Linked DNA regions of Saccharomyces cerevisiae S288C. The protein of the gene in region 1 interacts with the protein of each later gene in a biochemical or structural test. Each region holds a gene or a part of one and is shown on either strand. Other genes may lie near its edges.

Region 1 (4,291 bases):
AACAGGTCAGAAAACTATGATGAAGAAAGTGCTCAAGAAGTTCCAGTTAGATCAGTGACTCCGATACGTCAAGTTAAAAGGTCTCTTCATACTATTTCTTCGCCATTGGCCTCACAGGGCGTAGTGAATAATGTCCCCAAGTATATTCCAAGCATGTCGTGGGAAAAGTTGCCGGATTACTCACCTCCTCTTCACACTTTGCCGAATAGTAATAATAAAGTTTTAAAAGTGGAATGGAAAGGCTCTCCAATGGACTTGAATCATGATCCTCTCAAACAGCGTCTGCATCCTGCAGAACTAGTTCTCGCACAGATTCTGAGACTTCCATGTGATCTTTATTTGGACTCTAAAAGAAGATTTTTCTTGGAAAAAGTTCATAGATTCAAAAAGGGGTTGCCGTTCAGGAGAACGGATGCTCAAAAGGCTTGTAGAATAGACGTTAATAAAGCATCAAGGCTATTTGCAGCATTTGAAAAGGTAGGTTGGTTACAAGATAAACATTTTGAAAAGTATTTGTAAGAAAGAGGCGGTACGCCTTTGGGATAGCGTATCGTTTCATCGTTTAAACGAGCAAATTTGATAAGTACGGAATATGACAGTCTCATTGAGTAATACAGAATTGAGGCGTTTAAATGGTTATGGTTAAGGGTTACGGTTACGGTTTTTTATTCTTAGAACACATTTGATATATTTTTATTTATGGTTTTTTACATATAGATTTCGTTCATATATGAGGTTTTCTTTTTATATTAATTATATTTCTTCGGTTGTTACGTTATCAATTTTGTTATTGAATTATTACGGGTTATGAACGCCGTAGAAAAATAGCATTGGAGTTTGAGAGTCTGTGGCTTTTCTGTCACATCATTTTTTCGTCTAACTTAGGTTAACTCAGTAATCGTCGATTTCTTCATAACAGGCCAGGACCTTTTTTCTGTATTCCTCCATATCTGCATCCCAAAGTTCTGCTGCCACAGCGTTCAGCGGAGATCTGTTATTTGGTTCGCCAAGTAATGACTGCAATGACAATAGAATTGTTTCTACATTATACACTGCAGACCATTTCTCTTTCAGAATGTCCAAACAAATGTTGCCACTCTTATCCACGTTTGGATGCCACATTGGACTCAAAAATTTAATCATTGGCGGATGGAAAGGATAGTTTTGAGGAAACTTCAATGAAACCTTGAATTTAAGTCCACTATACGGTGTGTCTTTAGGGCCTGTAATATACCCTACCCAGTATGTTAAATCATTATCGTCTACGGGAAACGCACTAATACTTTCTGTTGTAGAACTAAGTAGCTGTAGCAGCTCATTTTGTAAACGTTTCGTCACGCAACCACCCTCTTCTACTGCCATTCTATACTAGCAAGCCTCGAATCATACAGGTTTTGTAGCACCTATAAGATGTAAAATATGAAAAATTTTTTCTGATATCTCATTTATCCAGTGTCAGAAGCATGTTTTGTGTCGCTATTAGTCAACGCTTTTTCCTTGAAAATCTCTTTCTAATAATGACATCATTAAAAAGAGTCCATTAACGTTATAAAGGAAAAATATTTCAAATTAAGCTTCATTACTGTTGATATATTGTCGAATTTGCCACGGTTTAGCTACGTATGCAGGACTATTGATTATCAGCACTGTAATAATGTACAATTATTTATATTATCCTATATCAATAACGTATATCTTTATTTGTTTTGATTTTTTCTCATTTTTCCCGTCCTAATCACTATCACTCGATTCACCATCATTGCTTTCACTGGTGTTTTCCTCGTATACGATCTCTGAACCATTATCTTCTTTTACTTCAGGTAAGTCTAGTTCCTTGTGGCTCTCTTTGTTTTCGATTGAAACTTCGTCATCAAATACAATTTTTTTGTTTGAAACTATAGGTAAACTTTCAGCTTGGGAACGAGAGCTGTTATAGCCATTGCCTTCTTCGTCGGCGTCACTTATTAATGTACCGTCCACAGAAACAACTCTTCCTGTAGTATGAACATTTCTCACTGTGAACCTCAATTTACCGTCAATGGGTTCACCATTAGAATCTACCCAGTGGCCCAAAGATCTGTTTCCAAAGGAAAATTTGCCCAAACTATTGCTTCCACCATTGCTATCCTTGTTATCTTCGTTATTATTGTTTCCATTATTTTCATCTGTGTTTATCACGTCAGCATCTTCTTCCACGTCGTTATGGACAAAGGTCCAATCCACAGGGATATTATTCTTTTTGATACTAGCATTAAACGCATCATGAATCAAAAGACCAATGTGTGAGGCGGATTGAATGAAAATGTAACCTTCCAAAACATCTCCAACTTGTGGCTGCCAAACGTATAGGTTTACATGGCACCAAGTAAATCCAAAAGGGGTATCGGGTGTGATTTTTATTAGTTTTTCTGATGTATCTTCTTTGCTTAAAGGATCAGCATCAAGAATTTTCAACCCTTCATAACCTAGCACAACACCTCCAACTTTGTTGTTATATTTCATTACTAATGGGTTCAAGTGCTGCTTCATGACACCTTGCAAGGGATTTTCTAAATACATTGGTGCCAAAGAAACATAGAGAGCAATGGGAACACGCACTATACAGTTGGAAGTTCCATTTTTCTCATCAATTGGGTTTGTAACCTGTTTTTTGTGTTTCTTGATGAACCTTGCGGTTTCGCGGTTCTCATTGGCTCTTTTTACTTGTGACATAATCCACGTTTGTCTCTTATCTTTCTGATATTATTATATATAAGCAAAAAAACGAGGGAGTGTATAACGATAGTCCCTTCGGCTCTATTTTATTGTAAACCTCCACTACATTGTCATATTTGCGATGCCATTAGTATTTTATTGCAGAAAAATTTTTTTCAAACCACCCATACACCCTCATCGGAATCTTTTCATTTCAAAGCGACAGTAATATTTTCTGTCAAGAATACACAAAGGATACACTTGCAGCTGGAATAAGCAAGATTCCACCAAGTTTCTTCTACCTGAAATACATCTATTACGGGGCCTTGATTAAAAGTAACTTAACTTCGCAGTTAAATTTAACTTTACAAGAACGGCATATGATCAGATCGTATCCTTGCCCGCTATCGGAGGGTCTCAGAATTACATCTTATACTGTTTCGAGTTTCTTATGTCTCCTCTTATAGCTAAAATGATTTGAACTTAGAAATTATCGAGGATAGAAGTAAGGCGTTGCATTTCCTTATAACTATCGTGTTTATTTTCTTAGTGGTGGTTCTTTTATTATTACCCGTTTTCTTCGGTAATATTTTATAGTGAAAAATTTTGGTAAAAAAAAAAAAAAAGAAAAAATTTTTTTTATTTCAAATCTCATCTCATCTCTTAAAAAGGTTTATTCTGTTTACTCAAACTCTTCATCAAAAACAAAAGTACTGCGCTAATAATTCTGGTCTTAGGTATCCATTAACTATACAGTGAACTTTATCCTTTTTCTGCTTTTTTTTTGCCGTACTTCGATTATAATCAAAGCCAGAAAGAAAAATGGATATTTCTAAACCGGTTGGTTCTGAAATCACATCCGTTGATTTCGGGATCCTAACAGCTAAAGAGATTAGAAATCTATCAGCAAAGCAAATTACCAATCCTACGGTTTTAGATAACTTAGGTCATCCAGTATCAGGCGGTTTATATGACTTAGCCTTAGGTGCATTCTTAAGGAATCTGTGTTCTACTTGTGGTTTGGATGAAAAATTCTGTCCAGGTCACCAAGGTCACATTGAATTACCTGTCCCTTGTTATAATCCATTGTTCTTTAACCAGCTATATATTTATTTGAGGGCATCATGTTTATTCTGTCATCATTTCCGTTTAAAGTCAGTAGAGGTTCATCGTTACGCATGTAAATTGAGATTGTTACAATACGGTTTGATAGACGAATCTTACAAACTAGATGAAATAACTTTGGGCTCTCTTAATAGCAGTATGTACACTGACGACGAAGCTATTGAAGATAATGAGGATGAAATGGATGGTGAAGGAAGCAAGCAATCAAAGGATATTTCCTCCACTCTCTTAAATGAACTGAAAAGTAAGCGTTCAGAATATGTTGACATGGCCATCGCTAAAGCTTTGTCAGACGGCAGAACTACTGAGAGAGGCTCTTTCACAGCTACTGTAAATGATGAACGAAAGAAATTGGTCCATGAGTTTCACAAAAAACTATTATCTAGAGGTAAGTGTGATAACTGTGGTATGTTTTCGCCAAAATTTAGAAAGGATGGTTTTACAAAAATCTTCGAAACTGCGTTGAATGAAA
Region 2 (4,959 bases), 410 kb from region 1:
TTTTATGCTTCAGTTTTTAACTTGGCTTTTAATTTTAACAGTTGATTGTCCAACCACCAATTCTAAATTGGATAATACAGAGACTCATGATCAATGGGGCAATTTCAAAGTCTCAGCACTCAATCTCCTTAGAACTATGAATCCAGACGTGGTGGGCGATATAGAATCACATTCCATAACGTTTCAACAATTTTCAACTGCAATAAGAACTGTAATGCCCAATCTATTAAAACCATTAGAGAATTTAATGGAGCATTTTTTTTATTTGCAGCACGATTTAGTTGATCATGACACAAACTTATCGTCTATTCAGGATTCTAAAGTTATGACTCCAGCACTGTTGGCACAGTTATCGACGGGACTACCAAAGGAATTATTTATTCATAAGCTACAAAGTTTATACATCGGCAGGAAAAGTGGCTTCTCAATGAGGTCTTTGCAAGCAAAGGTGTTCAAATGGATGGCGCCTTCGATTTTAGTTGTTAGCGGAATGAGGATAACAAATTCTGAAGAATACGCAGCTGAGAAGAATCCAAGATACCGCCATTTTCTTGAAGAATTTCCTAAATTGAAAGAGTCAGATCAAATGATGGATGCATCGCATTTGAATAAAAGGAAAACTACTTTCGCTGTGTACATAGACGATCCGTGGAAAGTAACAAATAAAGATTATTTTGGCGATCTGAATACGAGAATAATAGAAATATCACCCAGGCAGGATATTTATAAAGTCAACCAAAAAGGCACGATCTATTTCAATACAATTGGTGGCGGAATTGGAATCGGGGATAAACAACCATTAATAAAACCAGCATCCAAGAGATACATACCAGGGAACGTGTCGCTTACTTTTGACAGCACATTAGAATTTGCTGTGTTTAGAAATACTGGTTACGGAGGTTCATTAGACCCTGGTTTATTGTCGATGGAAAGAAAGGAGGAAAATTCCCCTTATGAATTGCATTTTTTGATTCAAGATGTTGAGGTATGGGGCTGTGGTGGTGAGAAAGAACTAGAAGAGCAAATCAAACAGTTGGAATGGGAAGAAGCAGAATCTAAAAGAAGACAGCAAATTAACCTGAGAAGCTTGGGAGAAGACCGTGCCTTACTGGAAATGGCAGGTTTAGTTGGCCAACATCAAGGTGGCGGTTCAATGTGATGCCTGCCTTTTTTGCTGTTTTTAGTTATTGGGATTGATTTCACTAAAAATCAAGACCACTAAATAAGGCTATTGTTTATTTTAATATTTATTGCACTTGTATGAAAAGTACCAAACTTTTGATACTGATATTACACTTTTAGTCTTGAACTTTCTTCGTTAAATTGCTGACCTACTTTCTGTTCTTCGACTCCAAACAACGATTCCCAAATGTATTTTCACAGGGCCGCATTATTTCTTTGATTTCGTTTTTTTCACCAATTTTTTCTTGATGTGCTTCTTGACTTTTGTTTTCCTTTTTTCTCTTTTTGCATCTTTAGCTTCCTGCTTGCGCAATTTTTTTAAATCCTTGTCCTCATGTTTCTTCCCCTTTAAAACTTTTGGTTCATCATCGTCATAGTACTCGCCCTCCTCCTCGTCATCTTCTTCAGATCCGCTTGAGCCGTCTTCTTCATCATCTGAGAATTCCTCTGTGCCAGAACTACATTCGTGGTCAGCGTTATCAAATTCAAATTGCTCAGAAGCAGCAAAATTGCGTTCATTATCATGGGCAATCAAGCTTTTCAGTAAGTCAAACTTACCATCAGTATACCTATCAAAATCTCTTTCCTCTAATCCACCCAATGATCTAACTAAATGCAGCGATCTGAATATTTCATCTTCTGCCTCATCTTGTTCTGTAGATTTTATTGGTAGATTACTAGCAATGTATGCAACCAAGGCGCTAATATTGTTATAATCACCTTTAAATTTCTCCAAAGTTTCTGATATGACAAATTGAAAAATAACCCTTTCAGGGAAAATACTTATACCCATCTTCTCGAAATAAAGGTTAACGTTTTTGATATCCATCCTTAAAAAATCTAAACTCATTGGATGTTCAGGTTCCACACTTTGGGAAACATCGATCATATATAGTTTATCATCATGAACTATGGTGTTATACTCTGACAAATCGGCATGAACCAGGCGACAAACTTGGTACAGCAATCTCATATATGCCACCATTGTGTGATAATAATGGAAAATTTCATCACGATTCTTGTACGGATAATCTTTTAATTTAGGTGAGGCAAATCCATTACCTCGGCTTAAAAATTCCATAACTAAGACGTTGTTCTTAACTTCTATTGGCTTAGGAGCTGGAATGACGCCACTTTGATAAATTCTTTTCAGGTTCCTAAATTCCTTTTCAGCCCAAATTTTAATCATTTTCCTTGGATTATGTTGAGATCTGGAATTTCTAAATCTAAATTCACCATCAACATATCTTTCACGATCTTTGAAGACTAGGATAGAGGTCTTATAAATCTTAATGGCATATTCTGCACGGGATCCGTCTGTCTCTAAAACTTCATACTGGCCTGTTTCCTCATCTATTACGGGTGCCTTACCGGTACCTGCAAAAGCGTGGTAAACATTAGCTTCTTTCCCAGTACTTAAGCAACCGTTCAAATCTGCAATCACACCTCTGGTGACCATAGACTTCAAAAATCTCATAGTTCTCGGATCTAAGACATTTTCCACAGTCGCCCTATTTGCTTTATCCTTTGATGTTTTCGCTCTGCTGAATGATAATTCATCAGTTTTTATTTTGTGACTATACTTCTCTAAGAGCTGATTATTAATATGGTCCGAGGCACCTTGCGACACAGACAATGAATCAAATTTATCTTCCAAGGACATGACCTTCTAAAAATAACGGAGTTTGAATCTCTAAATCTGTTTTAACTTCTTTTTACTATTATTTTTAGTCTTAGTATCTCATCTCATCTCAATTTCTATATTCCACTATAAAATTTTTCACTCTTTCTGCGCGCGCCAATGTCCCCGCAACTACTCAATAGGTAACATGAGAATATTTCAGTTCGTAAGAGAGAAGAGATGAAGTTATTTGGGCTCTTTGCTCGAGGTTACAGAAGGGCCGCATTAGAGTGAATGAGCTGATGATATTTCGCCCAGTTCTACATTTTTTTTTTTTTGGAAGTATGACCTCTGTTAAATTTTTTTTTTTTTAAATTTCACTTTCTAAAGTCCCAGAAATCCGCTTGAATGTCTTACATATTGCAATGGATATGCTTGGGTGATCATACTTCCTGGCTTTAGATATTTGAAACTTAACTCTTGTCAACAAACTTCCTATGGAGTGTATAAGAATTGTAAGTTATAACACCGGCGAACAATCGGGGCAGACTATTCCGGGGAAGAACAAGGAAGGGCGGTCTTTTCTCCCTCATTGTCATAGCAAGGTCATTTCGCCTTCTCAGAAAGGGGTAGAATCAATCTAGCACGCAGATTGCAAACACGGCTTAATAATATGCCTATCAGGCATTCACCCGTGTGACGAATCGCACACCGCTGCTCTCCTTAATTCCCTAGAGTAGAAACCGAGCTTTCAGGAAAAGACTACGGCAGTAAAGAATTGCTTTACTGGGCGTATAAAACCGGGAGAATCAAGACATTCTAATGACTTGATTCAGGATGAGAGCTTAATAGGTGCATCTTAGCAAGCTAAAATTTGGACAGCTCTCATTACTAAATTAAGATAGAAAAATGCCTGCTACTTTACATGATTCTACGAAAATCCTTTCTCTAAATACTGGAGCCCAAATCCCTCAAATAGGTTTAGGTACGTGGCAGTCGAAAGAGAACGATGCTTATAAGGCTGTTTTAACCGCTTTGAAAGATGGCTACCGACACATTGATACTGCTGCTATTTACCGTAATGAAGACCAAGTCGGTCAAGCCATCAAGGATTCAGGTGTTCCTCGGGAAGAAATCTTTGTTACTACAAAGTTATGGTGTACACAACACCACGAACCTGAAGTAGCGCTGGATCAATCACTAAAGAGGTTAGGATTGGACTACGTAGACTTATATTTGATGCATTGGCCTGCCAGATTAGATCCAGCCTACATCAAAAATGAAGACATCTTGAGTGTGCCAACAAAGAAGGATGGTTCTCGTGCAGTGGATATCACCAATTGGAATTTCATCAAAACCTGGGAATTAATGCAGGAACTACCAAAGACTGGTAAAACTAAGGCCGTTGGAGTCTCCAACTTTTCTATAAATAACCTGAAAGATCTATTAGCATCTCAAGGTAATAAGCTTACGCCAGCTGCTAACCAAGTCGAAATACATCCATTACTACCTCAAGACGAATTGATTAATTTTTGTAAAAGTAAAGGCATTGTGGTTGAAGCTTATTCTCCGTTAGGTAGTACCGATGCTCCACTATTGAAGGAACCGGTTATCCTTGAAATTGCGAAGAAAAATAACGTTCAACCCGGACACGTTGTTATTAGCTGGCACGTCCAAAGAGGTTATGTTGTCTTGCCAAAATCTGTGAATCCCGATCGAATCAAAACGAACAGGAAAATATTTACTTTGTCTACTGAGGACTTTGAAGCTATCAATAACATATCGAAGGAAAAGGGCGAAAAAAGGGTTGTACATCCAAATTGGTCTCCTTTCGAAGTATTCAAGTAATTGTTTTTGCGTGTTTCTCGTATGATTGTAATATGTAGATAAATTAAACATAAGTATATCAAATGTCGATATTCTTAAGACTGTTTCGTAAATATGTTAAATACCGGATGTGACTACATATAAAAAGTGCGCCTTTTACAGTGATAATTAGCGTCAATCAATAAAATATTTGTAAAATAGGAAGCGAAATCCCGCAGATGCCAGAATAGGTGGTGTATAAGGCAAGAAAACTTTACCTGCATAAATTAGTATTGAACACCAATCAAGTAGTCAGCCAATTGCTCGACAATCTTGGTGGCCTCACCGGC

The links. Proteins that work in one complex are often made in the same cells at the same time.
Region 2: of the proteins of RPA43 (region 1) and RIO1, one has a biochemical effect on the other in vitro, tested with the Saccharomyces cerevisiae proteins (one study listed by BioGRID).

Annotation. Positions count from the first base shown.
Region 1 is NC_001147.6:957,471-961,761, forward strand, and holds RPA43 (DNA-directed RNA polymerase I subunit RPA43), read right to left. Parts: upstream 2,713-4,291; coding exon 1,732-2,712; downstream 1-1,731. Other genes in the region: YOR338W (uncharacterized protein), read left to right, coding at 1-519; putative E2 ubiquitin-protein ligase UBC11, read right to left, coding at 892-1,362; DNA-directed RNA polymerase I core subunit RPA190, read left to right, coding at 3,517-4,291. UniProt on the Saccharomyces cerevisiae protein: DNA-dependent RNA polymerases catalyze the transcription of DNA into RNA using the four ribonucleoside triphosphates as substrates. Component of RNA polymerase I (Pol I) which synthesizes ribosomal RNA precursors.
Region 2 is NC_001147.6:547,402-552,360, forward strand, and holds RIO1 (protein kinase RIO1), read right to left. Parts: upstream 2,846-4,959; coding exon 1,391-2,845; downstream 1-1,390. Other genes in the region: RTC5 (Rtc5p), read left to right, coding at 1-1,159; glycerol 2-dehydrogenase (NADP(+)) GCY1, read left to right, coding at 3,713-4,651; PFY1 (profilin), read right to left, coding at 4,897-4,959. UniProt on the Saccharomyces cerevisiae protein: Required for the final endonucleolytic cleavage at site D converting 20S pre-rRNA into the mature 18S rRNA. Required for the final steps of cytoplasmic maturation of the 40S ribosomal subunit.